4 linked regions of the Elephas maximus indicus genome follow. The protein of the gene in region 2 purifies or fractionates together with the protein of the main gene of each other region. This does not show direct contact. Links are inferred from orthologs where the notes say so. Each region holds a gene or a part of one and is shown on either strand. Other genes may lie near its edges. The genes, in order: VASP, TACC3, SLAIN2 and CKAP5.

Region 1 (8,161 bases), on a different chromosome or scaffold from region 2:
CCTGGAGTTGAAGCAACCCTGGGGTAGGGAACCAGAACCAGGGTCCCAGCCCTGCCTGTGGTGCTTTGTGTGGCCTCATTCCAGTCCCTTCTCCTCCAAGGGCCTCAGTTTCCCATAAATGTACAGAAAGGTCAAGCTTCCTGCCTGAATTCGTTTTGCTTATCTGCTTCATCTTAAGTGTCCCTAGAGCGAAAATGTGTTACCTGTATTTACAAAAAGTTTTTTTTAATGTCCCTCCTTCTTTAATAAAAAAAAAAAAAAATTTTTTTTTTTTTTTTATAGCATATAGTAATTTGGAGACAGCCTGGGTTCAAACTGTTTGATGTAGCAGGAAATTTGCTTCTCTGTGCCTCAGTTTTACCATCTGTAAACTGGGAGGGCTGTAATGACATTAACCTCCTAGAACTGTGAGGAGGATTAAACTGAATCAGGCCCTAGTACTGTGCCTGGTACTGAGCAGATGCTTGAGCAAATGTTTCTTTCTTTTCTTAAATAACAATAATAACAACTACTATTACTGGAAGAGGGAAAAAATGGGCTCAAATTCTTCCTGAATCCACTCTGCCTGGAGATTTTCAGACTACTTCCCCTCTTCTCGGCCCTCCCAGAATTCCAGCTCAGAGTTCTGTACACACAGGAGACACTCAACAAATATTTGTCAAACTGGGAGAAAAAGAAATATATCTTGTAATTTTCCATGTTAATATCCTCTCCTTCCAACTGCCCATCGACTGTTCCCAGCCTAACCAGCCTAATCAGAGGACTGAATCCCAGCATTTCCCTACTCCACCACCCCCAAATTGTCTAGGATTTGCTGAGGGGCCTTTATGCTATGGTTTTCTCTTTGAGCCTCAGTTTCCCCAGCTGGGAATAGAGGCATGGTTCTCCTGAATCCTAGTCCTTGGAGAGGGGGCAGAGCCCAGAAAGGGAGACCCTGCAGGAGGTGGGAGTGACCCTCTAGTGGGATAGGATCAACTTCTGCCCACCCCCCAGGAGGTGGGAGGTTTGGCCACAGCCATCACAAGAGGGGGCCCTGTGGGAGGGCCAGGGCCTCGGGGCTGGGGGTAGGGCGGGAGGCCGGCCCAGAAGCTGCTCCTGCCCTTTTACGGTCTCACAGCGAGTGAGGCAGCACTAACTCGGACATCCGCCATCCGCCTTCCTTGGGACCGGAAACGCGCCTGGGGGGGACAAGAGGCGGGGCTGGGGGGGGCAGTGGGAGAGCAGCGTCCCGTCCCAGGGGAAGAGGGTGAAGGAAGACCGCAAACTGCCCCCTCTCCAGGGCAGACCTCAAGGGATACTGCTATAACAGGGAGAAAGCTAGACAGGAAGTCTCGAAGATGTCTGTGGGTGCCCCCTTGCTCCGAATTTTCCAACAACCCCTTTCCCAGCAGAAGGAACAATCGGGAAGAGAGTTCTCTAATGGTCATAGAAAGGAATGCCACCCGAATATCAGAGGCAGGGGTGTAGGGGAAGTGGGAGTGTGCGGGCACCAGGGGGTTAATCCCCAGCAGTCCCCTGGGGCCTTCCCCCTTAGGCTGGGGGCTTTGGGGCAGGAAGTCCCAGAGAGAGTGGAGGAAGGGAGATAGTATTGTCAGGCTCCAGCCCCAATGGAGAGATTATGGAGGGTTGTGAGTCCCTTCCCCTAGCCCAGCTCCCGCACTAGCCCCACCCTCAGGTGAGCCCGGGAGTTTTAGGGGAGGCCTCATGAAGACACAATCCCTGGGTGCCTTGGCCCCTCACCCTCAGGATTAAATTCTTGGGAAGATAACTGGAACTCTCTGGGAAGCTTAGGTCCCAGGGGGAGAAGGCTATGACCTTGAAGCTTTCTTGCGCCCCTTCCTCCAACCCCACAGCTCCCGAGGGCCCGGCAAGGCTGCGGGGAGAGGGGGGGTAGGTAAGGGACCGGGGTGAGGAGAGCTGCCAGCCCAACGCGCTCTTTGCCCGCCCCCCACACCAGCTGTCTCGACAGGTGAGTCAGAAAGACAAAGGCCCCCCTTCCCCCAGCTGCCGCGCCCCCTCCCTCTCTAGGGCCGCGCAGGTGGGGGAGAAGGGCCGCCCTGCTGGCTGAGGGCGGGGAACCGCCCTCCGCACAGAGCGCTCGCTCTGTCCTAGGCACGGCCTGTTTCGGGAACCCTGTGGGTGCAGAGAGGCGCGGGAGGGGAGTCCCAGCCAGACCCTCGAGGTTGCGTCTGGGTCCATCAGTCCGTCCGAACTGACCTCCTCCACAAGAGGATCTTAGTGTCCCTCCCCCCCAAAATTTAGAGGATTAAGACGTACCCCTGAAGTTAGGAAGCGCGGTTCCAACTGGGGAGACTTTTCCAGCGCCACGTAAAAGGGGACCCCGCTAACAGGGGTCTGCGTGTTTGCCTCTCTCCCAGGCTCCAGAGTCCCCAAGCCGATCCCTCCCATACCCCGAGTTGAGGTTTGGGGGGATTCTGGGGTCTGCCTAAATTCTGGCATCTCTGCGGAGAGAATTCGCCAACTTAGAGGTCCCCTGAAAAAGTCTTTAAAATTCGGGAGTCCGCCGGAGCGCCCCCAAATGCGAGGGCTCCCAGGAGAACCTCACCGGCATCACCCCGAACCTTAGGAGTCTGGGGGAGGTGGCCAGTATTTGAAGCTCGTCCAAGGGGATTCGGCCCCAAATCTAAGGCTCCTAGCACCCGGTCCCCAAATTCCAGCCCCAAGCGAGCTGGGGGAGGGGGGACAAAGGCAGGGCGAGGAGCCCGCGCCGGGCGGGGAAGGGTCGGGCTGCAGTTCGCGGCTCACCTCATGGCTGCTCACTGGCGGGTGGCGCGCCCACGGGGTGAAGGCTCCCGGGGCGCCCCTGGCTCGCTGTTCAGGGGTTCGGGGCTGGCTCCAGGTTCTGCTCAGTCTCCCCCAGGGTCCCGCCCCATAGAGTCCGGCTTCCTGGGGGGAATGTGGCCGGGGCCGAAGCGGGTCCTCGGTCGCCTTCTCCCCCTGAGGTTTGATGGGGGTCCCTACGGCAGAAAGGGGGTGCGGCGTCCCCTCCCCGGCGCGCCCCTCGGCCGGCAGCGGCTACAATGTTACTCTTACTACTGTACTTCTCTTCGCTACATTTCGTTCCAAAATTCCACTCCCCGCACCCACAATGCCCCGCGCCTTAAAGGGGCCGCGGCTGCCTCAAGGCTGGGGGTGGAGGGCGCTTAAAAGGGCAACGCGGCACCGTTGACTTCCGCTATTTTCCTTGTCCTCAATGTGAGTGCATAGGGGTGCACTCCGGGGGTCACCCAAAAATTGGGGGGGTAGCTCGGTAGAAGGGAAAGGGATCCTTTCACGATCCCTATGTCTCCCCCAGTATGGAAATTCTTAGGGCGATCGAAACGGGCACAATTTTTCCCCTCTCGTCCTCCCCATTGACTTCTCCATTTCTTTCCATGTTGCTAAATTTTGGGGGGCGAGGGCTCGGACCCTCTGGGTAAACACAGATTCCCTCAAATTTTGTCCCTTAAACCCCACCTTCGGAGCCCCCAACGTCTCTGTCTTCTCTGTTTATGAGAGGGGTTACTGGGGGGGTGAGTCCCCTATCCCGTACAGGAGGGGGATGGGTGGTTAGGGTCCCACCCTTCTAACCGCCCGCCCCGGGAAGGTGAGGAGGAAGTGGTCCGAGGGGGCGCGGCCGGCCTATGACTCACAGCCGCAGGGTCGGGGTGTGGGGTGAGGAGGGGGGTGGGGGCTGGGGAGACGGGCGGGGGTGGGGGGAGCGGCGCTAGCCTGGGGTAGGGATGCGACGCCGGGCTCCTGTGTGGGCCCCTCCCCACGCACGCCCCGCCATGACTCAGTTTCTCCTGCGGAGGATGGAGGGATCATCCCAGCAATCTAGGGGGCCCGGAGGCGGGGAGACGCCCAGGTGTCCCTTCCTCGGGTCCCCCTTTCCCAAGCGCCCGCTCAAGGCAGAACGCAGCGCCCGGACCTCTTCCGAGGCTTCCGCAGCGAGTCCCGCAGGCCCCGCCCAAGTGACGTCACCCCGCGCGGCCACGCCCCCCGGAGAGTGCCACCTTGTCCGGGTGAAGTGCTTACAGGAGGGCCTGGAGCCTGAGAAATCTTCACTAAGATGCGTGCAAATGGGTAGACTGAGGCCTGGAGGCAGGGAACGTATCTGGGCTATGGCCCTCTTGCCGGAGCCCCAGGGTGTGAGTGTAAAACCAACATTTCTCAGGACCCAGCAGATTCGACGATGCCCTGTTGCTGCCCTCCTTCACCTGGGGAGCACCTCACCTTCTAGGCCAAGCCCTGAAAGGAATTCTCTGAAGCACCGAGTAAACCCCCTCCCCTTCTCCACCCCACTGTGGATACCCTGAACCCTGATCCACCTAGCTTGTAATTGTTCTTCCGTGTGTCTTCTCCAGGTGGGAGTTCTTTGGGGGCAGGGTTATACTTGATCGATTTCTAGGCTTCACCCAGCCCTGCCAGACTCAGCAGCAATCGAATTAGGACCTCAGTTCCGTGGGATCTTGGTCAAGTCCTTTCTCCTCTCTGGGTCTCTGCTTTTCCATCTGTGAGTATTTCTGGGTGCCAGGGGTCAGCAGACTTTTTCTGTAAAGATCCAAATAGTAAATCTTGTAGACTTTGGGGGCCACGTAAGTCCGCTTTCACATATTTTTCTTTACAACCGTTTAAAAATATAGAAACCATTCTCAGTTCAAACCAAAACCAAACTCGTTCCCGATTCTGACTCATAGTGACCGCATAGAACAGAGTACAGCTGCCCCATAGGGCTTCCAAGGAGCAGCTGGTGGATTCGAACTGCAACCTTTTGGTTAGCACAGCTGAGCTCTTAACCACTGAGCCACCAAGGCTCCATTCTTAGCTCAAGTACCACTACAAAATAGGTAGCAAGACCCCTCCACTAGAGAAACCCTTGCATATGTGCACAAGTAACCTGTTCAGTGGTCTTTGCGGCAGCAGTGCTGTCGGAGCAGGAAATTAGAAACAGCCTAAAGGCCATCAAAGGAGGGACGGATAGCTAAACCATTGCATAGCCCTCCTCTGGGCATCAGCTGAAAAGAATGGAGTGTGTAATTGCATGGAAGAGATCTCTATGATGCTGTTGAGTGACAAAACAAGTTACCGGTACGAAAAAAATCAAGGAAATACCAAAGATGCCATATATTTGTGAGAGGAACATAAACATGTGTGTACATGCAGAGGAAGGAGCCGTGGGGGTGCAACTAAAATGCTGACAGTTTAAACCCATTCAGTCGTTTTTCAGGAGAAAGCTGGCGATCTTCCCCTTAAAGATTACAGTCGAGAAAACCCTATGGGGGAGTTCTACTCTGTCTGTCACACAGGGTTGCTGTGAGCCGAAAATCAGCTCCACAGGACCTACAACAACATGCAGAGCAAAAGACCTAGAAAAATTCACTCCTTTTTGGTTACCATTCTAGTTATCTAGTGCTGCTGTTATAACAGAAATACCACAAGCGGATGGCTTTAACAAAGAGAAATTTATTCTCTCACAGCCTAGGAGCCTAGAAGTCCGAATTCAGGGTGCCAGCTCCAGGGAAGGCTTTCTCTCTTTGTCAGCTCTGGTGGAAGGTCCTTGACATCAATCTTCCCCAGTAGAGAAGCTTCTCAGCACAGGGACCCCAGGTCCAAAGGACATGTTATCCTCCTGGCTCTTGTTTCTTGATGGTATGATGTCCCCATGTCTCTCTCCTCCCTTCTCTCTCTTATATCTCTAAAGAGATTGACTTAAGACACAATCTAATCTTGTAGATTGAATCCTACGCCATTAACATAAAAAAAACAAAAAACTGAACCCAGTGCCCTCCGACTCATAGCGACCCTATAGGACAGAGCAGAACTGCCCCGTAGAGTTTCCAGGAAGTGCCTGGCAGATTCAAACTGTTGACCCTTTGGTTACCAGCTGTAGCACTTAACCACTATGCCACCAGGGTTTCCCCTCATTAACATAATTGCCTTTAATCCTGCCTCATTAACATCATTGAGGCAGGATTTACAACACATAGGAAAATCACATCAGATGACAAAATGGTGGAAAATAACACAATTCTGGGAATTGTGGCCTAGCGAAATTGACACACATTTCTGGGGGGACACAATTCAATCCATAACAGTTACCAGTGAAATAGGGAGCAGGAATGTGAGGAATTCATTGGTCATAAAGATCTCAAGCCTCATCCTGGCAATGCCAAGTTTGATCCTGCCTACAGGGCTTTGCACTGGCTGTTCCCTCGGCTTGGTACACTTTTCCCTGGAGTATTTGTACCCCTAGCTCCTTATCTGTCAGATCTTTGCTCAAATGTCCCCTTTTCCCTCTGCAGAGGCCTTCCCTAAGGCCCCTGTCTAAAACACTACCCTGAGGTGGAAAATTCAGTGGCTGAGGGTGGGGGATGGAAAAAGACTTTTCATTGTGCACCATTTTGTATCCTTTGAATTTCGAACCGAGTGAATTGATTACCCATTCAAAAAACAAATAACAATTTTAAAGACCAAAGTAGGGCCCCTAGTCATTTTGTTATCACGTCTCTGTTTTGTTTTCCTTGGGATACTTGTCAGTGTTTAAGATGACCTTATTTATTACAGGTCAGTCCCATGGGGGTAGGGTTTTCAGCTGGCCTTGCTCAAGGTTGTAAGCAGGGCCTCAGGCACAGCAGGTGCCCTACATTGATTTGCCAACTAACTAGGTAAATCTTGTTTATGTTTTCTACAAGGAAAATATGTCTGAAGTTACTTAAGTAATTAAAATTTAATAAGAACTCTAACCAGCCCCAATTTAAAAAAAAAAATTAAACAGATAAAAATGGGAAGGAAAGTGAAGGTTATTGAACTGAGTGATTTCTCTGGTTCTGTTCAGCTGTAAATATTTCAAAATTTTGGGGGGTTTTTTTGGTCTGAATGGTGTGTGGAATTTCCCCCTCATGTAAGATTTTCTGTCAGAGGGAACTAGGAGAAAGGAGAATAAGCACTCTGAAGTTCCTCCATGGGCTATCTTCCTTCCGCTGGTCCTCTGAGCTGGGGAAGGGGTCAGTTTTTTTCCTTAGTTGCGTGGGGCCCCCAGCTGAGTGGAGGATCCCCAAAGGACGACAGCTGTCAGGCCTCCAAGCTCAAGGCAGCACTTGAATGGAGGCTGGTGGGCTTTCCGGTCCTACCGTGCCCCTTCTGTAATGCAAAATGTGGGAAATGGTGAATGGGAACCCCCTTCTCGCCCTCTCAGCATCCACTTCCCTGTCGTCTGGAAGCAGCACTCATATTTCCTTTGAGGGTCTACCATTCCCCAGTCTTTCAATCCATGAGGTTTGGCTGGAGCAGCCCCAACCCCAAGTGCTAAAGGTGGGCATGTGACCCTAGCCAGACCAATCAGAAACACAGAGACTGATCAGACATGTGACTCAGTTGGGCCAATGAGAACCTGCTATGGGAGGACTGCTGGAACTACTGGGAAACTGGTGCCCTCTCTCCACTGGGGATGGTAAGATGGTGGGATGTGAGCCTGAAGCTGCAACTCTGCTACCTCCCAGACCTGCCTGGGAATGAAGCCAACTCAAAGAAAATAAAGCTAAGAGACAACTCCTGATGACAACATCTGAGAGCTGGATCCAGCTATACCTTAAGTCCCTGAATGCTTCAATTACAGGATCCAATAAATTTCCTGTTTTGCTGTCACAGGTTAAATTGGGTTTCTGTCACTTACAACCCAAAGAATTCTGATCAAGACCTCCTTCCATTGCTTAGAAACTATCAGCAATCCCCCGTCATCCAAAAGATAATAACCAACCTCCCTTTCCTACCAGGTAAACACCTTTGGATTCTGGCTCCAGCTTTCTCCTTCACATTTCTTCCCTGACTCCTGCCCCCACACCTTAATTTATGCTTCACTACCTACTACTTCTCTTCTGCAGCTACCTGAGTCCAACTCACAACTCTCCTGTCCAAGACCTAGATGGTTCTCAAGGATATTGTCCTCGGGGTCTCTGCACTTCGTTCAGCCCTTAGAAACCAAAAAACCCAAACCCGTTGCCATCAAGTTGATCCCGACTCATAGTGACCTTATAGGACAGAGTAGAACTGCCCCATAGGGTTTCCAAGGAGTGCCTGGTGGATTCAAACTGCTGACCTTTCAGTTAGCAGCTGAACTCTTTACTATGCCACCAGGGTTTCCATTCAGGCCTTAGGGAAC
Region 2 (7,139 bases):
GGGCGGGGGCCCGGGGCAGGTGGGGGATAGAGGAGGAGGAAAGGGGGAGCCAAGGGCACCAAGGCAGGTGACTCCAAGGCCCGAGACCCACATCCATCGCTGGTTTCTGTTCAGTCTGACCTGCGTGTGTGTGCAGGTGTCGGGGGCTGCACTGGTTGCTGTCACACATGATACCCAGGTATGCAGGAACCTGCCTGCGCACCCTCAGACAGGCCCCTGGGCTCACCCCCACCCAGGCATGCGATCTGCTGGTGGCGGCACTTAAGCCACGCTTACCGAATGTCAAAGGCCTTCACGTAGGGGTTGGCGCTGGCCACACGGATGGTGAGGAACTGCACAGGCAGGTTCGAGTCTGGCGAGAGTTCGTGCTGCCGTGACTCTGTCACGGTCAGGTGGACGTCCTGTTGCTGAGCCACGTGGACATGGTACGTGGTCACCTTCATCACCCAGGTGTCCGTCACTATCACGCGGGCACCCGGTGCCCCGGTGGCAAACTTATCAATCCGCCGGAACTCCATGTTGACAGAGGAGGCAACGGCCCGCCAGCCTGACTGTGGGAGGGCATACCGTGCCAGTGTGCGGGCCAGCGGGTGGTGGGCCCACTGTTCACGCGACCAGTGGTAAATGAGGATGCACGCTGTGGCAGGGAGGGTCACTGCCAGCAGGAGGAAGAGCCCCCAGGCCTCTGGGGCTTCGCTGGGCATGTAGAGCCGCTTTTCCGAGGCTGCGAAGCACATGCCCACATAGTAGCCTGCAAGACAAGTGAGCTTCAGCGGAGATCAAGGACAGGCCAGGCCACTGTCCACCTCCCAGAGTGTCGACCAAGGGCCACAGTGCCCTCCCTGTATTTCTGAAGAGGGGGCACATGCTCCCCTGTCCCCCGCCCTGGGCCTGGCCCTCTGCCCTGGTCACTTGAAGCCTGGACAGCTCCCAGGGCAAGGCCAGCACCCAGAGCAGGTGTGCCCATTCAGTTTGGCGGGCCGCCTCAGTTCTCGTCCACAGTGTTAGTGCGCTAAGCCAAGGGCAAGATGCTTTAATTTACTGTATCAGTTTCACAAGAGTGATACATGAATACCAAAGAAATTAGGTAAACCGAGAAAAACAAAAATAAACACAATGACTTGGTGTCGCTGGACCCAGAGGTGACCAATGGCTGGCCACAGCTCAGGCAGCAGCTTTGGGCCCAGGCCATTGTCTCTCAGTCCCATTCCCAAGGATGCAAACGGGAGAAAGGACCATTCTGAGCTCCAGAGCAGGGACGGGGCACACACAGCACCTGGGACATCTGGAACCACGAAGCCAATTAACGTAAGTGATGACGCTGGTAACAGGTTGAGTTGGCAAAAAGTAACCAAAGCCAAAAAACCAAAACCGTTGTCGTTAAGTTGATTCTGACTCACAGCTATCGCATAGATCAGAATAGAACTGCCCCGTGGAGTTTCCAAAGAGTGCCTGGTGGATTTGAACTGCCAGCACTTTGCTTAGCCGCCATAACACTTAACCACTACGCCACCAAAAGGTAACAGTAAATGTATCATCTGAAATCACTAAGCTTCAAAAAACTTGAATAATAATAATAGTAGATAACTGACAGAACGATCCCCAACAGCCCGAGTCTTGGTTTCACTGGGTCCTCCTGGGGTGGCCTTGGGGACGCTCGTGCTCCTCAACATAGCCCCTTGTGCTGAAGGTGCAGTTAGAGGGCAGCTGGGCTGGGGTTTTTAGTCCCCAGAAGCAGAAACCCAACCCACAGCCCTTGTATGGGAGTGATCTTGTCAGGGGTGCCCCTCTTAGCCGTGCCCTCCTCATCTGGAGACCGGGCTCGCAGCATTCCTCCCTCGGGGCTGCTGCACTCCTGGAGACCTGGCTGGTCAGGGGCTCCGGCTGAGTGAGCAACTATGGTCACTGGGCTACGAAACACAGGCGCAGCTTGCCACCCCATCTCTGGGGCCTCCCTCCTTCCTGAGGGCAGCCCTGGCCTCACCGCCTTGAGCCTCTCTGGTTGGAGGAACCACGCCATCCCCACCACGACTCAGGGGCTGGGGCGGGCATCAGGACTGGACTGGTGGTGAGGGGGCTCCAAGTCCCAGGCCTCTACTCCTTCTGGCCATCCACCACCCACCTAGCCCTCTCCTCGAGCCCTCCGGCAGTACAGGCCCCACCAGCCCGTCTCCGCACACCACGCTAGGGAGGCTGACATGCCCACAGCCTGGCTGTCTCTGCTCTTTCCACCCCGCACCTGCCTCACCTTTCCAGACCAGGCCACTGTGTCCTCCTACCAGCAAGACAGATACCCTTGCTGTGTCCGTGGTACTGCAGACATGCCTGCCACCAGCCATCTGCTCCCAGACCTGTTTACGCCTCCAGATTCCTGATGCCCCGCTGGCCCCTGGGTAACATCCAAGTGTCCTAGCCTCACATCCGTGGCCTTTCCTGGGCCTCTGCATCTGTGGTTCCCCCAACCTGGGACTTTGCTTCCCACCCCACCTCTGCCTGCTCTCCCTACACCCAGAGCAATGCTACCTCCTCTACGAAGCCCTCCAACCCTTCCTGTTGGAATCAGTTCATGAACCAGTGCCATTGTCCTGGAAATTGCTCCCCCACCCCCCTTCACTGAAAGCAGCAAGTTGGCCCATGGGTGTGGTGGCGGCACAGCATCTGACCTAACTTTACAAGACGGGAAGAGAATCAAGATAGTCCAAAGCTGAATCCTCCACCTTCTCTCTCCAACTTCTTACCAATTCTGACACCAACCGTCACTTCCACCGCACTCTCTGCTGAGTTCCATAATTTGTTGTGATGGCCACACGGTACTCACAGACAATACTCACGATTATAGAATTTATTAGGGAAGTAGCAGGTTACGATTCAGGAGCAGAAACAGCTTGAAATAGTTCTTTTGTCATGACAGCTTTTCAGCGATGCCCACAGGCGTGCCTCTGCCTAGCCCTTGGCCTCTGCCCTGCTCAGACGACTGTTACAAAGCTCTTCAGCTCCACCAGTAAGTGCCCAGGAGCACCCCACTCGGCTAGCAAGCGTCGGCACAAAGGCACTCAGCCTTCTCGTTCAACGACACTCAACATTCTTGTTCCATGGGCCCGGAAGCCCACCCAGCTCTCTCCTGCTGGGCTCCTGCTTCTGCTGCCTCCGCTTCTCTTCTCTCCGGTGTTACATCTCCTCAGTCTAGGAGATTCTCAGCACAGGGATCCCAAGTCCAAAAGATGTGCTCTACTCCTGACTCTTCCTTCTTGGTGGTTGTGAGGTCCCCTACCTGATCCCAGTTGGGCCAAGACACTCTTCCCCCAAGGTTCCAGACCCGGCTTCTGTCACTTGCAAGCCAGCACAAAGTTGTCACACTGCATCTCCGGTGTGGCCACTGTAGCCACTAGACAGGCACCCTTTTTCCAACTCTGTAAGAAGCAGACCCCCAAGCGGCAGACACAAGAAGCTCCACTCAGAACTCCCCAGAACAGTGCCCATCTAAACGCTGAGGTCACCCTCTTCTCAGGTGGCCCCAGCCAACACCTGAGCAAGACTGTGGTCCTGAAGCCTGGCCATTTTTCCCCATCTCAGGCGCCTAGGGTGCCCCACTGGGCAGTCCACGCTGCTCCCCTGCCTGAGCCCGCTTCCCCCCTGCTCCTTTCTCAGGAACCCTATGCACGACGAATTCCATCTCAGCGTCTGCTTCCTGGAGCCCCCCTCACTCCAGGCATGCAAGAAAGCAGGTGTTGGTGGGGACTCTCAGGTCCCCTCCCGCCAGCAAGCTGATGAGCTGCTGTTGCAGCACCACACAGGCTTTGAGGCCACCGTCCCCGTGGCAGAGGAGAGAGCTGTAGGGAGCCTGGGTCACTGGCACCTGTGAAGCCCCCAGAGCAGCCCTGCACTGACTTCCTGCTGACCTCTGTTACGGAACAGAGAGAGAGTCCACCGTGCTTAAGCCACATTTAGGGGGCAGGAGAGATCTTAGTTGCACGAACCCAACCCCATCCTCAACCAACGAGCTCAGAGCACAGAGAACCTCTCCCAGGAGTCCTTTTCCCTTAACAAGTCACAGAGGCTGGACTGACTCCTGACCTCTCCCACCAGGAAACAGGCCGGGAGAGGCCGGAAGGGCCTGAAGACTCGGCACTGCCCTCAGGTCCTGACCCAGACCGGACACACCGCTTCGGAAGAAGTAGAACTGACCCCGAACCTGACAGACGACAACCAAGCAGAAACGTGGGGACCCTGAAAGCCGTGTCAGCCTCGGTGAGGGTGTGCGCCTGCAGACACTGGGAGTCGTGGGGTCGGGGCCCCAACCCGCGCCGGGCCGGGCCACCCGCCGCCGAGAGGCCGGCGGGGAGCGGGCCCCAGGCGGGGCAGGGCCAGGGGGCCGGGACCCAGCGCACAGCGGGGCTGGAGGGGCCTGGGTGGGGAGGTGGCCGTCTCCGGGAGCGGCCCGGCCCGCCTCACCGAGCGGCAGCAGCGAGTGGCACAGCAGCGTGGCGGCCGTGCGGCGCAGGTGGTAGGGCACGAAGGCGGCGTCTTCGCTGCCCAGCCATCCAGACAGCAGGTTCTGCACGGTGAGCCCCGCCGAGTGGAACTCGTTGGGCGTGAACACGAAGCACACGGCGAAGACCAGGTAGGCCAGGGTGAACGTGACCTCGGGGCTGTCCATCGCGAGGCCCAGGGGAAGCCGCCCGAGCGAGGCCGCCGCCGCCGCCGCCGCCGCCGCCGCCGCCGCCGCCGCCACGGGAAGAGGCCTGAGCGACCCGCCCCCGACGTGTATCCGTCAGTTGTGGCCACTGCCGCCAGGCCGGCCGCGGGGAGACCTGGGAAATGGAGTCCCCGCCGCCCGCAGAGCACTCTGGGAGGTGTGTTCCGGCCTCCCGTGGCGCACCCTGGGGAGCCCGCCCACTGCCCAAACAGTCGCGAGGTGTTCTGGGAGATTGAGTTCCTGCCGTCCGTGGGGCACTATGGGAGACGGAGCCGCCTAGGCAGTCCCATCGAGGGTGTGGTCCGTCCCCACGGCCCGTCCTGGAAGTGGCGCTGCATCTAGGCTCATTTTACAGCTAGGGAAACTAAGGCCCGAGCAAGTAGCTCCCAAGGCGCGGCACCCCTGTGCCGCGCAGCCCAGTCGCGTGCCGGCAGAGTCCGAGATCCTCGGCGCTTTGGCGCCCCGCAATAACCGCCCGTCGGGTCTCCGCGGCAGGAAAGGGCCATGCGTGGACGTGAGTGGGGAGCCGACCTCTGCGGCCGTGGACGCTCCCCCTACCCACTTCCGAGAAGCCCACCCGCGGGCATCCATTCACTTCCGCCTGTTTGGCGGGACCCGGGTCCTCTCAGCCGGGACGTCTCCGAGGGCGCCCGGGTGCCCCGCCCACGGCCCCAGCGTGCCCCTCGCGCAGGAAAAGGAAACGCCCTGAGCGCAGGGGGCGGGGCCGGCGAGATGCGGCCTCTCATTGGCTCCGCATCCCCGTGCTCTACCTGCCCGCCTCCCGCTCGCGCTGATTGGCCGCGCGGGTCAACCGTCGGTATTTGAATCCGCGGGGCGCGGCAGGCGGCTGAGCTCCGGCTGGGATCGCGGCGGTGCCCCGGGTTCGGCGACCTCGGCGGAGCAGGCGGCTCTCCTCTCTTTTCTCGCTGCGAGCGGCGGGGTGCGGGCCCGAAGCCCGGCGACGGGCAGACGGGCAGGTAGGCAGGCAGCCGAGTCGGGGTCCCCGCCCCGAGCGTGGTGGGAGGAGTCCGGCCCCTGGCAGGGGGAGGCGGCCGGCGGGCTGGAGGCGTCCCTGCTCCGGGGAGGGCCGCGGAGGCCTCTCGGGCGCCGTTCCCTACCGTCTCCCGGCTGGGGCCGGCGCGGGCGGCGTCGGACGTGATTCCCCTTTTGGCCTCTGCACTTGGGGGCCCAGCGGGCCTCTGCTTGGCCAGCACTTCCCACGGAAGCTTTCCCTGACCCTCGCCCCCGTGTCTTGGCCGCCCGAGCTCGCCGCGTCTGAGCCTCTCACCGCACCGTGTCGTTGGGGCCCCCTATCCGGCCCTGACCCAGCCAGGGGCCCCCTATCCGGCCCTGACCCAGCCAGGGGCCCCCTATCCGGCCCTGCCCCAGCCGGGGCCGTTCGGGCGGGCTCTGACCCCAGCCGGGGCCCTTCGGGAGGGCTCTGACCCCAGCGCCGAAGGTTCGCGTTTTGTCCTGCAGTCTGCGTGCTGCGGGTGTTTGGCTCAGGTGCAAGCGATAGCGAGGATCCGGGGAGTGACTGCGGGGGCGGGGAGCCTTTCCCGCCCTATCCCTTGCTTGTTACCAAAGCCGGCAGTACTGCAGCCTCTCTTTTCAGCCCTATTACTCTCCCTCGGCTTCCCCGGTCTCTTATTCTGCCCCCAGGTCTGTTACCCGCCTTCCCCCACTGCTTCATCGCTTCCCAAACCTTTAACATCTGCCTCTCAGTCGATGATCTTCCTTTTGGGTCGATAAGACCACGGAAGCGTTGGAAGAGAACGTGCAGCAACTCCCGCGCTCCCTGTATCTGCCCAGGCTCTCTGCCTTTGTTTCTGTGGGCTGGAGGAGCTAGCATGCTGGAGCTCACGCCCCACCTTTTTTATCGTTCAAGGCTTTTGTTGTGCATTTATTATCGCTTCAGTCTTTCTCACTGCTAGCCAAGCCCTGCTGGGTTCTTCCATTAGAAAATACGTGACATTTGTTTCTGGAATATACCACCACAGCTGCTCATCATTTTTTTGTTCTTTTTCCTTGCGGTACTTACCAGGATATGTCTACATCTGTCTCCACAGCTTCACGCTTTTCCCTTGAGCCCACTCTAGTCAGGCTTTTGCCACTGCTAGCCCAGTAACGCACTCTTGCAGGGGTCACTTGCATGTTGGTAAATCCCTGTAACTCTCGGGCCTCATTTTGTCTGGCCTGACCTGGTCGCTGCCTTGGAGTTGGATGACTGCTTCCTCTGAAACCCTTCTTCCACCTTCCTCCTGAGCCCCGGCTCTCAATGGGCCTCCTGTTTTAATGACCACTTCGAAAAGTCTCCTTCAGAAAGTCTGCGTATTAAGGCTCAGTCCACGGGCCTCTTGTTCTCTTTCTGCACCGTCTCCTTGTGTGCCCGTTCCATAGATGACCTCATCCAGCCTCAAACAGCATCCATAGGCTGCTGACA
Region 3 (7,111 bases), about 49 Mb from region 2:
ACATTAGTATGTCAGAAAAGTTCAGCATTAAAGAAACATTTATTTTTGTTCAACCTCGATTTTCCCACATTTATTTGACCCCAGAACCCACCATTATTTTTCAGGTAATATCTATTGACACATTCAGAACCAGCATTTTGTGGTAGACACTTGGGGAAAAACATTCCTGTAGATGAAAAAGTTACACTGGGTAGAAGATATAGAAAGGTAGAGATATACAGCTTTTTAACAAATAAAAAGTTTTTACTCTATGAACCTTCCTTCCCCATCCCTGACACCCATCTCCATCCAATTTATGCCCCAAACACATACCCCAAAACAAATAGGACTTATCAAACTTTTAATTAACAAATATGACTTATCAAACTTTTATTCACACAAAACTTATAATATCAAGATATGAAGCCAGGATCAAGGTAGTAAGCAGGAATCAAAAGAAACTTCTGTCATAGTATCTAAGACTTGCTTTATCTGAACAAACCCTATGCTCAAAAATCAAAGCAGCCAAAGTCTTCATCAGCTTCTCCAAATGGAGTCAATGTGTTCTAATAATACAGAATCTAAAACGGGCTCATGAGTGCAGCTAACCTTCATTGGTAAGAGCATCATTATCATCATCACTTAGAAAAGGCATGTGACGACATTTAGATGATTCTGAGTCCTTTTACAGTGTATACACGCCCAGGATTCCTCTGGGAGGACGTGATTTCACACCAATATGAAAAACTGTCACTACCATAGCCGGTTCTAATAATATTTGGTGTCACCTCGCAATAAAATAAAGCGTGACATAACATATTCCAGGGTACCTCTGTCATTCAAATTGTCTTAACTGGAAGTTATACAAATACCTCTGACTCCCCTCTTGCAGTTGTCAGCGCAAAAATGCCTTCTCACTCTTTCCCGCCCTCAGGCTCCAAAGCCACCCCCTTCTCAAAAGTCTGCCCCAACTACTCTGAATTATTTATTCTCTTCCCACTTTCTGAGTACTCTCAGTACTTTTTGTTCCTAGCATTCCTTTGGCAATTTATCCATCGTATATGTCCTAGCCTATTTAACTGCATAAAACTTAGCTCCCGACAAGACTGAACTACTTCAAGAAACGGGATCAACACTTATGAATGTTTAGAATCTCCAACGAAATCCTATAAGAGTTCATTAAATACGTCTTGATTTAAATAACTCGGTTTAAGTATAATAGCAGCTAGACTTGGAGAGCTTATGATATGCCAGACTCAGTGCTAAAAGCATACACACATTACCTCACTTAGTCTTCACAACTCTACAGAGGTAAGAACTATTATTTTCTTCAACAAGTACAGGGAGAAAGTGAGGCTCGGTCTAACTTGCCCAAGGTCATATAGCTCGTAAGGGAGGCAGAGCCAGGGCCTGAATTGAGGTTGGTGTGAATGCGAAGCTCTTAACTACCTTAGTACACTACAAAGTTCAATCGAGCCTTGCAATACCAAGAGCCTACGAAGGATTTTTATTTCACTAAGTTAGAAGTTTCCATTTCAACAAAGAGTAGAAATATTGTAGTTAAAAATTCAAACTCTAAAAAGGGATAAGAAAAAGAATTTCCCATAGGCATCTTTGTTTGACTGCAATAAAATATGATGGAAAAGGCCTTCCATAGCCTTTCTATTTAGGTAAGTGATATTAAGCTGTGGGTCACAATTTCATCAAAAAGTGGTTTATGACAATACAGCTTTGGTTTAGATTTTAAAATAGGACTCTCTTTCTCTGCCCCTAGGACGACATGGAAAGACTGATGTGACAACTGTCACTTCGCAGCTCCGAAAAATTCCCAAACCCGATTCTTGTTTAAAAACTAAAGAATAAGGGTCTTATTCCACCCTTGACTCTTCACACAAAGAAGCACCTTCTTCTGCCCTCTTCACACAAAGCAAGCTTTACCCCACTGCCCGTACGGGAATGCTGATTCACACGGTCTCCCTATCCCTGCCAGAAATGTACCCACCTCACGCTGGTCCAAAACACTGACCACTTAAACGGAGGTAGACGACTCTGGTCTGTCCCCCGCAACCGGTGGTACCTCATCCAGCAGACCCCTCCCTGAAATCCAAAATGCCCCGGCCACCACCCGAAGGCTGGTATTTCACACAAAGCACGATTCTTTCCTACAAAGCAATTTCTCGTTTCTGACTCTACCCATGGGGAGAAGCCTTTCTCCGGCTATGTCAACGCAAAGACCCCGACGGGGTCCAGGACTCGGGGAGTCCACAGCCCAGAGGAAAACTACCTACCAGCCTCTTTCCTAGCCCACCCCTCGAATCCCCACCTCCGGCCGATCTTTTCGCAGCCAAGGCAAGACCATGAGTATGCCAGAAAGCGGATCCCGCTACACAAAGCGAGGCGTTCCACCAAGGAGACCCTTGGAAGACGCTCTACACCCCCGGCCCATCCCCGCCCAGTCCGGGCCCGGTGCCCTGCACTCACCAGCTCTCCTCCTCCTCCTCCCAGCCTGACAAGCGCTCCAACTCCTCGGGCCGCAGCGGCTCCACCTCGTCCAGCAAGCCGCCCTCGCCCGCCGCCAACAAGGAGGAGGCATCCCGCAGCTCCTCGCTACTTGTCCGCCTCGGGCCCGAGCCGGCCCCGCAGCCCGACTTGGCGCTTAGGCCCAAGGGGAAGCCCCGAGGGGACGCAGTGCCGGAGGAGGGAGTGGACGCACCGGCCCGAACCGGGCTGCCGGGCCCGAGGGGGCCGGCGCTCTGCACCGCCCCAGAGCGGCTCCTCAGCTGTTCATTCTGCTTCTCCAGCTTCTTCACCAGCTCCTGCAGCTTCCGCACCTCCTGGTCCGCGTTCACGTTGGAGTTAACGTCCTCCATCCCGGCCGCGCCACTCCGCCGCCCGCCACCCGCTCGGACTCACAGCGACAGGGAGAGAGCCGCAGGAAAGAGGTGTCGCCTCCGCCGCTCACTCTAGCCGAGGCGCCGGCATATAGCAGGTCCAGGCCCCGCCACCAGGGTCCCCCCAGCTCGTATTCCGAAGCGCCGCTGGCCCCAGCCGAGCCGCCTCATCTGCGCCGGCTCCAGGATTGTGGGAGGCGGCGCCAATATCCGGCCTCCGCCGCCATCTTCCCTGCGTCCCTCCGCCCCCTGCTGTCCGGCTCCGTCGGTGACCTCAGAGCGTCGCGGATGGACGCGGCCGCGGGCGGACTCTGAGAGGACGGAGCGCCGAGCTTGCTGCGGGGCGGGGCCATGGGCGGGGTCATAGGGTGGGCGGGGCAGTGGGTGGGCGGGTCTATGCCCGGAAGGGGTGGGGCTGGGGAGGTGGGACGGGGCCCGCCCACTGGGTAAGTGACTCGGGCTATCGGTAGGGAACCGAGCGGTTGCGATATGCCGGGCGCGGCCAGGGATGAGTGCGGATTTGACTGTGGGTGGGGTTGAGCTCACGAGCGAGGACCCTTGCTCAGCCCCGCCTTCTGCTCATTCGGTCTTGGATGGTGGGCGTGTTGTTATTCACCGCCAAACACCGGCGTGTGATACCCGCGGGCCGATCCTGCCCCACCTCGCGGCTGGTTCTCGAGTGGGCACTCAGCCCAACCCCGTGGAGAGAGTTTACTTTTTCAGTTCAGCAAGTGTTTATTCGATGCCTACTTGAAACAGGAGATTGTCAGGGCCGACAGGAGCCTTAGAAACGATCTGTGATCCCTGTCTTCTTTTAAAGTGAGGAAACAAAATACCAAACGGTTAAGAGGTCTAAGGTCAAAATAATAATAACTACCATTTCTTGAGTGCTTAGTACGGGCCACTCTGCTAAGCGTTTTAAAGGTATTATCTCATCGAATAAAACGTAGTTTTCCCGACTTAAAGTTTAACTGCACCCTGTGACTCGGAAGCATAGGGGAGGGGGAAGCCATAGAAGGCAGCTCTTTTTAGACTTTTCCCATTAAATAATGGACTCACTGGGTTTTTTTTTTTTTTTTTTTAACTCTGCTCTTTGGATCGTTTTCTGCAGAAAAACTTTTTCAAATGTCGACATTTTTTCAAAATTGGGTATTAAAAGTACTTAAGAAATCTTTTGAGAGATACTGAAGAATGCGGAGAGATATATGAATATAAAAATCTGCCTCACAACTGGCGACAAAACAAACCAAAAAAAGTAAATGATTTGCGCATTTCTCTTAGCTGTCCATTGTGAACTACTTGGCTTCTGTTTGCAGCTTTCCTTCAATTGCCTCCTCCGCCCTTAGCTAACAATGATCCGGTTCTACTACACCAGGGCGTGGATTTGTATGACATGAATTAGTTTCTTCTACTCTGAGCCTTTCTATGCTGTATTGTCCTTTAATAAAATATCCTACTTGCCAAATCTGATCCTTTTCTTAAAACCCATGTTTACCCAACCAAGACACCTTTCCTGACAATGCCACGTTTTTTTTTTTTTTTTTGGTTGGTTTTTTTCTAGCATTACCTGATCAACAGTTTTCAATAGGTGTCTGCAATTAAAAAAAAAATGCTTCTTTTTCTAGGAATTAAGTTTGTTTTTGTCTGTATACTTGATGAAGAGGGATCATTCATTTTGTTTACCATGTCTAGAATAATGTCTGACACAATAGACATTCGGTACCTGGTATGTCGGAAGTTAAATAGAATATACATTCTTACAGGTCAAGGATCACATGGATGTTTATTGGTAGCAAGAGACACATTGAGTATTTTAAGTTTGCTGGCTAACTATAGATAATGTTCTCCTGATTCAACAGCACTTAATAACCACATGTATTATCTATATAATGCACATCTAAATATCATTGCTGTCTCTGACACATCTAAACTAGTTGCCAGGGGGTTAATCATTATGATGACTTCATATATAGCAGTTTTTAATGCATTTAACAGTTTGTAAAATAATTCCAACTATCCAGTTTTTGTAAGAAGAACCTTTCGAATATATTCCTTGAAAAGAATAGTTCACTCAACATTATGAACCTAAACACTAAGATTCCACAGAGCAAAAAGAGCTGGATATAATGTGGAACAATGAATCAAGAATCAGGAGGCCTGCTCCTCTGGACTGTGTCCAGTACAAGAAGACAGTACCCGGCAACCACCACTGACTGCTCTGACAGGAATCACAGTAGAGTGCTCTGGACAGAGCTGGAGAGAAATACAGAACAAAATTCTAACTCAAAGAGAAGGACCAGACTTGCTGGCCTGACAGAGACCGGAGGAGCCCTGCGAGTATGACCCCCAGACACGCTTTCAGCTCAGTATTGAAGTCACTCCTGAGGTTCACCCTTTAGCCAAAGGTTGAACAGGCCCATGGAACAAAACAAGACTGAAGGGGTGCACCAGCCCTGGGGCAGGGACTGGAAGGTGGGGGGCAGGGGGGACAGGAAAGCTGGTAATAGGGAACCCAGGGTTGAGAAGGGAGAGTGTTGAGATGTTGTGGGTTTGTTGAGCAATGTCATAGAACAATGTGTGTACTAAGATGAAAAACCGGTTTATTCTGTAAACCTTCATCTAAAATAATAAAAAAAAGGAATCAGGAGGCCTGATTGCAGGTTCTGGCTATATCATAAATATGTTGCTTGGTCTTAATCTCTGGCTACTTAATCTCAGGTCTTTACCTTTTTCAGACTGTGGGAGTTGGATGATTTCCACTATATTGGTGAATCTTCATCATTGCAAAACATAAATGTAAATATACTTAGATAAATATCTAGACATATGTAGTAGATTACTTGGATTTCTATATTTGTATTTTGTAATTGCCTTACTCTACATCTTTTTTTTTTCATTCAACAAATATCAAGTCCCTACTATGTGGCAGGAAACCCTGGTAGCACAGTGGTTAAGAGGTATGCCTGCTAACCAAAAAGTTACAGTTTGAATCCACCAGGCACTCCTTGGAAACCGTATGAGGCAGTTCTACTCTGTCTTATAGGGTTGCTATGAGTCACGATCGACTCGACGGGAACACGTTTGGGTTCTTTTTGGACTATGTGGCAGGCACTGTTTTAGGAACTTGGGTATTTAATAGGCTTCTCAAACAAGTCCAAAACTGAACATCTGATTCACGCACACGCACACTCCAAGAGCTTGTCCTGTAGTCTTTACATTCCTAGTAAATGGCAACTCTTTTTCCAGATGCTTAAGCCAGAAACTTTGGGATAATCTTCTGCAAGTCTCTCATTTATTCCCACTCTTCACTCCAACCACACTGGCCTTCTTATTCAGATATGCCAAGCATGTTTCTACCTCAGAAATTTTGCACTTGTTATTCCCTCCATCAAGGACCTACTTTTCCACCACATTTTCACATTACTAACTTCATTACTTCATTCAGGTCTCTGCTCAAATATCACCCCCTAAGCTCACCATCTTCATTGTTACTATCCTAATAAGATAGCATTCCTATCATTCCTCACCCTCTTAATCGCTTTTATTTTTCATCAGACACATCGTTCATTTCTTTCTGTGCTTATTGCCTATCTTTTCCTAGTAGAATGTGAACTATATGAGAATAGGGTTTACTGCTACATCCCCAGTGCCTAGAACACTGACTGGCGCATAGTAGGTACTCAGTAAATGTTGAATAAATGAATGAATGAGTTCTGGTCAAGTGAAGCCTCCTAAAACAGAGGTTCAGGTAAACATGTTTATGTCTCAAATCATTGAAGTGGAAATTCTTCATCACTTTGAATGTTTTTTTTGAATGGCTGATTTTTTAAGTTACATTTTCCTCTTTCGAAAGAGCAACATGTCATACTATACATGTGTTGGGGGGCAGTCCCAGCAAGGGAAAGACCCTCACTGTGCATCCTGGCAGATAATCCGAAGAACTGACACATAGCCCTTTCTAGATTCATACGTTTATTCGGGGAAACTTACTGACAGGGGCAAGCAGCTGCCCTCTCCAGTGGCGGCCGGCTGGATCATTTTCCGCAACCACCTAGCAAGGGACCCAAGCTTATATACCATTCCAGCTGGGACCAAGGCTCATCGTTTTCTTCCACGTCCTGGGGCAGTCAATGTTCCCAGGGACTTCACGTCCAGGCCCAGATGTTTTCCTTCTTGTTGCTAAGGCATTCTTCGGCCTTGGCCACTAGTCCAGTCATGCCACTCCCAGCCTTGTACCTTAG
Region 4 (7,815 bases), on a different chromosome or scaffold from region 2:
GTAACTGCCTGATGAACAAAAACCCAAACCCACTGCCATTGAGCTGATTTCCAACGTACAGTAACCCTACAGAACAGACAAGAAACCTCATAGGGTTTCCTAGGCTGTAATCTTCATGGAAACAGAATGCCACATCATTCTCCTACGCTGTGGTTTTGAACCACCACCCTTTCAGTCAGCTGCCGAGAGCGTAACCACTGCACCACCAGAGCGCCTATGAGTCCGAATTGACTTGACAGCAAACGACAACTGCCCTGATAGGACTAAGTAACATATTCTGAACTCTAGAAGAAAGAACACCAGAATCCCTTAAGAACCTCAAAACTCTCCAAAACTGACGACCAGAAATTCATAAATTATAATTGGATTGAGACTTCAATTTTAAATTCTCCCTCCAGTTCCCCACCACACTGTCACAGCTGTCTATCTCCCATATTGCTAACACTGTATTTTCAACTGTGTCCATCTTCCCTCTAAAAACTACCACGCGCCTGTCACTCATACTTCATCATGTCTTTAAATAGAAGAAAAAAAAGTGTGGGAAGGAGCGATTCTACACAGAAATTGCTCGTGAATTGTCCCTATCAGACCCCATTACTTCACATAGCATTAACTATAGGTTAAGAGCCTTACAAAGACCCTGTAGACAAACTTGGGTTCAAAATGATGTTCTGTCACTTAGTTGTATGATCTTGAACAAGTTACATAACCTTTCTAAGACTCAGTTTCCTCATCTGTAAAATGTTGTTGTGAAGATTAACCAAAAAAACCAAACCCATTGCTGTCTAGTTAAGTCAATTCCAACTCATGACCCTACAGTGACCTACTGTACAGAGCACAACTGCCCCATAGGGTTTCCAAGGACTGGCTGGTGGATTTTTGATTAGCAGCCAAATGCTTAACCACTGCACCACCAGGGCTCCATTGTGAAGATTAGAAAAGATAAAATGTGGCACCCAATGAATATTCAAAAAATGTAGCTAGTGCTAATAAATGTATTTGAGAATTTATTTTGTTCAAGGACCACAGCTGGGCCACAGAGATTATAAAAATTACAATTTGCTACAATAAATTGTTGGGGGGATAAAACTGTAAAACTCCCTAAGGTCAGGGGCTTTGTCTTTTTCTGGATCACCAGGGTATTCCCAGAACCTAGAATAGAGTTTAGAACAGTGCTGTCATTGTGTGCTATGGAGTCGGTTCCAGCTTATAGCAACCCTATAGAACAAAGTAGAATTGTCCCATAGGTTTTCTTGGCTGGAGAGCAGAATGCCATATCCTCCTCCCACTGAGTGGCTAGTGGGTTCGAACCACCAACCTTTCAGTTAGGTTTAACACATAGTAGATATCAATCTCCGTATTTGTTGAATAAATGAATGAGACCCCATTAAATCAAAGAAGCAAAAGAAAGTCTGGCCGTATGTCAAGACTTTTAACACTATCCGAAGGCATTGTTAAAGATGCTCATTATTTTTAACTGCTTCTTCAGAACCTAGACCAGTGTTCGTAATATTTAAAGTACTCAAATTTATTACAATTTAAAACTCTGCTAAAATTGAGCTGTCAGTTGTAGAAGGCTTTAGTTGTGGTGGAACTACCTCACACCACTCCTTATAATTCAACCCTGATGATTAAGACTTTTAAAGTAATAAGAGAATAAAGTATAAATATTGCCTGTGTGAAAACCTGTGTTAAAAATTTTTTCTCACGAATTTACAAACCAGGTTTAATTTATGCTGGCAAAAGAAATCGATTTCACTTTTTTCTATATCATTAATTTTTATAAAACAATACATTTTGTCCAGTAATTTATAGAAAGTCCAAATATTTTATGACTTCATAAAAGTTTCAAAAAACTTAGCTTAATTATTGGCAGCTGCTATTCGTGAGGTCAAAAAAGGACTTCTCAGAGAGATAAAAATGGGGAAAGGAGGAGCTCACCTTTCGAAAAATGAGTTTTCAATTACTATAATTATACATAAAATAAGACAGGCAGCATTTCTGGGCCAAGATTTGATGCCCTGGTTCCCCCGAGAATTAAATTAGAGCCATGCATAAATGTGGGACAAGTTCTGCAAAAACCACTTCACCCTATAGAGACACTGAACGAAAAACTCATTAAGATTCATCGAGACAAATACGTATATTTTCTAACCCACAGCGGACACCCTGGCAACACCAATTTCATCATTTTCTATGCCAGAAACAAAACAGGATGCATTTAAATTCTTCCTGACAATTACCAGGGTTGCAGGGTAACTATCTCAATGGTCGATGAGTGGTTAAGCGCTAAAAAGTAAGAGTGTAGTTTACCAGCACCCCCCCTCCCCGAACTAGCAAGGCCTGATTAGCTTACACTGCTGGCTGTTATACTGGTCCTCAAACCCTACAAAACTGGAAAGCCACCTAAATTCTATCGACACCTTTGAAAGGCTTAGCCTCCTGCCCTAGAGAAAGTCAGGCGTTAACACCGGAGCGGTGAATGACCAGAATCGTTAAAATCGCAGCAAGCCAGTAGGGACAGAGGTGCGCGGCCAGGCCCCGGTACCACCGCCCTTATCATACTCCGAGGCGACCGGGCCCTTCAGAACCACCACAGTCTTCCCAGGCTCTCATTCATTCATTCGACAATTACGTGACGAGCACAATCTCAGGGCCGGCTCGCAGGGCCCCCGCCCCAACCCCGGAACACAGCCGCTAGCCGCGGCCCTGCGCCGCTCGCGCCTCCTGGGTGCTGCCGCCCGCGCCCCTCCGGTCACCGGGAACCCAGCCTCGGCCTCGGTCGCACACGCACGCCGGCGCCCCACGCACACTCCCAGCCGCAGGTCCCCGGGCCTCCGCCCCGTTTCGCCGCCTCAGCTCTGCCGGGTTCGTGGGGCATGGGAGGCGCGCGCCCACGGAGGTCCTCCGACCTGGGTTCGGGGACCCTCCGCGCGCGCGACGCCGAGATCTGCGGGCCTGTGTGGTTGGGTCAGGACCACCGCCCACTCACCTCAGCCGGGTCAGAACCGAGGGGCCTGCTCTAAGCCGTTTAAAACCGCTTGGGCCGCCGCACACCCCGCAGTGTCCTCGTTGTCTATTGGTGCTCGACTGACTGCCCATCGCCCTTCTATTGGTCCATTTGAAAGGACTGTGGGCACGCGCCGCCCGCAGCCTTAAAGGGGCCGCGCGAGTCGTGTTTCCCTCGGGACCGTGCCTTGCCTGTTGGGGTGAGGAAACTCCCAGGAGAAAGAGAGGTTCGCTGGAGCGAAAGCTGCCCACGATCCCGAAAGAAAGGACGAGAGGTGTGTGTAGAGATGTGTACCCATGGCTGTCAGCACTTTTGCTTTATTTAATTTCAGATATTTAAGCTGCTGTCTACAGCTGGCATTTTTTTTCAGTCGTTTCGTTCAGAAAATATTGATTGTGCGGCTAAGTGCTATGAGGAAAAGGAGAAGCAGCTGGGATGTGATGTAGTGGAACGGGACGAGGACGGTGGATTCTGGTCTTGGACCTAAAAAAAAAAAAAAATGCTTTCGAGTTGATCCCGACTCATAGCGACCCTATAGGACAGGGTAGAACTGTCCCCACACAATTTCCACGGAGCGGCTGGTGGATTAGAACTGCGGACCTTTCGAATAGTGGCCGAAGGCTTAACCACCAGGGCCCTGTCTTGGACCTATTACTGAGTAAATCACATTACTCAGTTAATAAATCTTCCTGGAGCTTAGTTTCCTAATCTGAAATAAAAAAACATCGATAGCACGATGTTTCCCTTGCAAGCTTAGTGTGAGGATTTAATGTAACTAATTAAAAATGTCTGGGAAAAGCCTTTATGAACTGTAACTCATTTTGCAAATACTCCATACTCTTGTTATTTTAAAAAATGAGAAGCTTGGTTAATATGTTCTCTAAAATTCTTGTTTAGCAATACATTCATATGTCTGTGAAAAAGATCAGGTCCTTAACTCCAAGGAACTTGCAATCTACAGTGGTAGGAAGATAAAAGTCGCTAAAATTCAAAGCTGTATGGAACTGTATAATGAAAAGCTGTAAATGCTTAGTGAAGGGAGAAATTCAGTGGCTGAGGCAGTGGAGTCACAGCAGATCACACTGGGTGACACTGTCAGAGGGAGTAACACAAAAATGACTGTCTGAAATTTTTGTGCAATGTTTAGAGCAGAACTTTTTGAGTTTTTATTAAAAATATCCCTGTAGTTACAACGATGAAGAGCAATGATGAATCCTTGAAACATCTCATAACATGAATGAATCTGGAAGGCATTAGGCTGAGTGAAATTAGTCACAAAAGGACAAATATTGTATGAGACCACTATTATAAGAACTCAAGAAAAGGTTTAAACACAGAAGAAAGCATTCTTTGATGGTTACGAGGGTGGTGAGGGAGGGAGAGACAGGGGAATTCACTAAGTAGTAGACAAGAATTATCTTAGGTGAAGGGAGGGACAACACAGTACGGGGAAGTTGGCACCACTGGACTAAACCAAAAGCTAAGAAGTTTCCTGAACACAATCAAACACTTTGAGGAACAGTGTAGCAGGGGTGGGGATCTGGGGACCATGGTTTCAGGGGACATCTAGGTCAATTGGGATAACAAAATTTATTACGAAAATGTTCTGCATCCCACTTTGGTGAGTGGCATCTGGGGTCTTAAAAGCTAGCAAGTGGCCATCTAAGATGTCAATTGGTCCCAACCCACCTGGAGCCAAAGGAGAATGAAGACCACCAAAGACACAAGGAAAATATTAGCCCAAGAGACAAAAGGAGCCACATAAACCAGAGACTCCATCAGCCTGAGACCAGAAGAACTAAATGGCGCTCAGCTACCACCGACGACTGCCCTGACAGGGAGCACAACAGAGAATCCCTGGCGGAGCAAGAGAAAAGTGGGGAGCAGAACCCAAATTCTAGGAAAAAGACCAGACTTAGTGGTTTGACTGAGACTGGAGGAACCCCAGAAGACATGGCCCCTGGACTGTCTGTTAACCCAGAACTAAAACCAACTCTTCAGACAAAGAATAGACTGGACTATAAGACGTAAAATGACACTCCTTAAGAGTGTGCTTCTTAGTGCAGCTTCTCTCTGGAGGCAAGATGAGAAAGCAAAAAGGGATAAGGACCTGGATGAAATGACACAGGAAATCCGCGGTGGAAAGGCGGAATGTGTGGTCACATTATAGGGATAGCAACTAGGGTCACTTAACAATGTGTGAATAAATTTTTGTACGAGAAACTAAACTTGAGCTGTAAACAAACAAAAATAATAATAATTCCTGTAGTTATAGCAACAAAATTTTTTTTCACAAGCCCAGCTTACATGTTTCAGTATACCTAAAGGATAAAACTCTATGCTCATTTACTTTTTGAACATTCTAATGCACTGGTCAGAGCTGTCATTATTACCCAATTACAGTGAGCTTTGAATCACATAGTTTTGTCTGCACACTCTACAAGCATGCACTGTTGTTTTTGTTGCTGGTGGTGTTTTTATAGTGACTGATTTTGTCAATTTTCTGGTGTTTTAGCTACAATATTGTGGTAATTAGCATGGGGGGGTGACACCATGAGTCATCGCACTAGGTGAAACCAACCCTAGTGACACCACTGGGTGGGGGATCTGTAAAGGAGATGAAATTTTAATCTGAGATTTGAAGGATAAACAGGTTACCAGTAGGCTTTTAATGGAGAGGGGATAGGTAAAAGCAAATTAAAACCACAATAATACTTTTTTTTAATCAGAGCTATCAAAATCTTTCAAAAATCTTGATAAAGATGAAAAAGTTTAATAACCTTGGGTTAGCCAGGATTTGGAGAAATAGACACTCAAACACAGGGTTGGTGGGTGTGTGGAACAAAGAGTTGGCATTTTGTCTCTCATTCCTGAAAATAGCCCTTGGAATTTCTCAAGCAATCAAAGTGCCGTTGTTTTTCCAAAACAGTCTGGCAACACTTATTGTTGTTATTGTTAGGTGCCATTCCAACTCATAGTGACCCTATGTACAACAGAACAAAACACTGCTTGCTTGGTCCATACTCATTGCTATGTATGAGCCCACTGTTGCAGCCACTGTGTCAGTCCATCTCGTTGAGGGTCATCCTCTAGTTGCTGACCCTCTACTTTACCAAGCATGAGGGTCCTTCTCCAGGGATTGGTCCCTCCTAATAACATGTGTCAGTACGTGAGACAAAGTCTCACCATCCTCTCTTTTAAGGAGCATTCTGGCTATTCTTCTTCCAAGACAGATTTGTTTAAGTGTTTGACAACACTTAAACATGTGCAGGAAACCCTGGTGGTGTAGTGGTTAAGAGCTACAGCTGCTTACCAAAAGATCAGCAGTTTGAGTCCACCAGGCGCTTCTTGGAAACCCGATGGGGTAGTTTTACTCTGTCCTATAGGGTCACTATAAGCCGATGAGGTGGGAGGCCAAAGACCACACCAATCGAAATAACTTCTGGAAGGGAGAGGGGTATTATGCAGCCATGCATATTCAGTAATTCAATCAGTCATTGACTATACATTAAGACTCCATCACACATATACACTGAGGTCCCAATGACTATTAAAAAGGACCCTAGGCCTTGGACTGGCACATCTTTGGGGACGAAGCTCAGTGCCAAAAACTCTTCCCAGACCTTGCCTGTGCCTCTGTTCGTGTATATCCTTTTGTGGTTATAATTAAAAGTTTTAGTGACTATAGTCCTTTCCGTGAGTTTTGTGTGCCATTCTAGCAATTATTGAACCTACCTGGGTCATGAGGGCCAACAGGGCCTGGAGCCTGCCTTTTTGGCAGTTGATTAGAAGGATAGAGTCCTAACTTGTAAAGACCCCAGCCTTGGGTGGCTGGTGGACAGAAGAGGGCTGTGCAGGCAGTCATTTTGTAAAGACTTAACTCAGGGTGGTTAGGGGCAGAGAGAGAAAATGCCATGTGGGTGGTTGGTGTCAGAGATGAAGAAATGGGAATGCAGGGATGTGAATTATCTTCACATTTGGAGAATCAGCCTTGTATCAATTATTAATGCAATGGGAATACAACTGGTGCAAACTTTCAGAAGACAATTTGGCAACTATTAAAATCTAATGTGACCATTAGAAATTTATTCTATAGATCTATGCAAGTATGCAAAGAAAATGTACAAGGATGTTCACTGCAGCACTGCTTACGATTAAAAAAAAAAAAAAACCCTGGAAACTACATGTCCATCAATAGGAAACTTGTTATGTAAATTATGGTATAGCCATTCAATAGAATGTGGTTAATCTATACATGCTGATGCAGAAAAATGTGCAATTATTAATTGAAAAAAGGCAAGTTGCAGAAAAGCATATATGGAATGATTTATGTATGTTATAAATGAATGTGTGTTTGTGTACATGCCTGAAAATGGTTAGAACATTCCTGGAATTACAAGAAACTTAAGAGCAGGATTAGTAGGGAGGGAAATAAATTTTTTACCATTAACATGTTACTTTTCTTAATAGAAGAGACAGGGAGAACATGTCTGGTAGCTTGAAAAGTATGAGCAAGGGGACAGAGACAAGTAAGTGCATTTTATATAGAGGAATTAATGTGTGGGTTTGATTTTAGGACAAGTTTCATGTTGGAAAGTAGTTGGACACAAGATATACAGAGAAGATGGGAACAGGTCTTGGAGGCCTTGAATGCTAGGGTGAGAAATTTGTATTTCAGTAGGCAATAAGGAGTTATTGAAGGTTTCAGAGCAAGGGGAGTGACACAATCAGAACTAAACTTTAGGAAAGTTAATTAGCTTCATTGTCTAAAATGGGTTAGAGCTGAGAAACAGGAGCCCAATTAG

What was found.
Region 1: the proteins of TACC3 (region 2) and VASP purify together in Homo sapiens (co-immunoprecipitation; 3 studies listed by BioGRID and IntAct, with this or other methods). This does not show direct contact. The link is inferred for Elephas maximus indicus from reciprocal best matches to the Homo sapiens genes TACC3 and VASP.
Region 3: the proteins of TACC3 (region 2) and SLAIN2 purify together in Homo sapiens (co-immunoprecipitation; 3 studies listed by BioGRID and IntAct, counting the BioPlex papers as one, with this or other methods). This does not show direct contact. The link is inferred for Elephas maximus indicus from reciprocal best matches to the Homo sapiens genes TACC3 and SLAIN2.
Region 4: the proteins of TACC3 (region 2) and CKAP5 purify together in Homo sapiens (co-immunoprecipitation; 5 studies listed by BioGRID and IntAct, with this or other methods). This does not show direct contact. The link is inferred for Elephas maximus indicus from reciprocal best matches to the Homo sapiens genes TACC3 and CKAP5.

Annotation. Positions count from the first base shown.
Region 1 is NC_064829.1:104,187,034-104,195,194, forward strand, and holds the start of VASP (vasodilator-stimulated phosphoprotein), read right to left. Parts: upstream 3,098-8,161; 5' UTR 2,772-3,097; coding exon 2,767-2,771; intron 1-2,766. UniProt on the Homo sapiens protein: Ena/VASP proteins are actin-associated proteins involved in a range of processes dependent on cytoskeleton remodeling and cell polarity such as axon guidance, lamellipodial and filopodial dynamics, platelet activation and cell migration.
Region 2 is NC_064823.1:160,027,948-160,035,086, forward strand, and holds the start of TACC3 (transforming acidic coiled-coil-containing protein 3), read left to right. Parts: upstream 1-4,079; 5' UTR 4,080-4,248; intron 4,249-4,452; coding exon of another isoform or gene 4,453-4,657; exon of another isoform or gene 4,658-4,717; intron 4,718-4,963; exon of another isoform or gene 4,964-5,673; intron 5,674-7,139. Other genes in the region: TMEM129 (E3 ubiquitin-protein ligase TM129), read right to left, coding at 277-751, 4,453-4,657. UniProt on the Homo sapiens protein: Plays a role in the microtubule-dependent coupling of the nucleus and the centrosome. Involved in the processes that regulate centrosome-mediated interkinetic nuclear migration (INM) of neural progenitors.
Region 3 is NC_064823.1:110,843,310-110,850,420, forward strand, and holds the start of SLAIN2 (SLAIN motif-containing protein 2), read right to left. Parts: upstream 3,115-7,111; 5' UTR 2,850-3,114; coding exon 2,461-2,849; intron 1-2,460.
Region 4 is NC_064825.1:102,292,453-102,300,267, forward strand, and holds the start of CKAP5 (cytoskeleton-associated protein 5), read right to left. Parts: upstream 3,083-7,815; 5' UTR 2,993-3,082; intron 1-2,992. UniProt on the Homo sapiens protein: Binds to the plus end of microtubules and regulates microtubule dynamics and microtubule organization. Acts as a processive microtubule polymerase. Promotes cytoplasmic microtubule nucleation and elongation. Plays a major role in organizing spindle poles.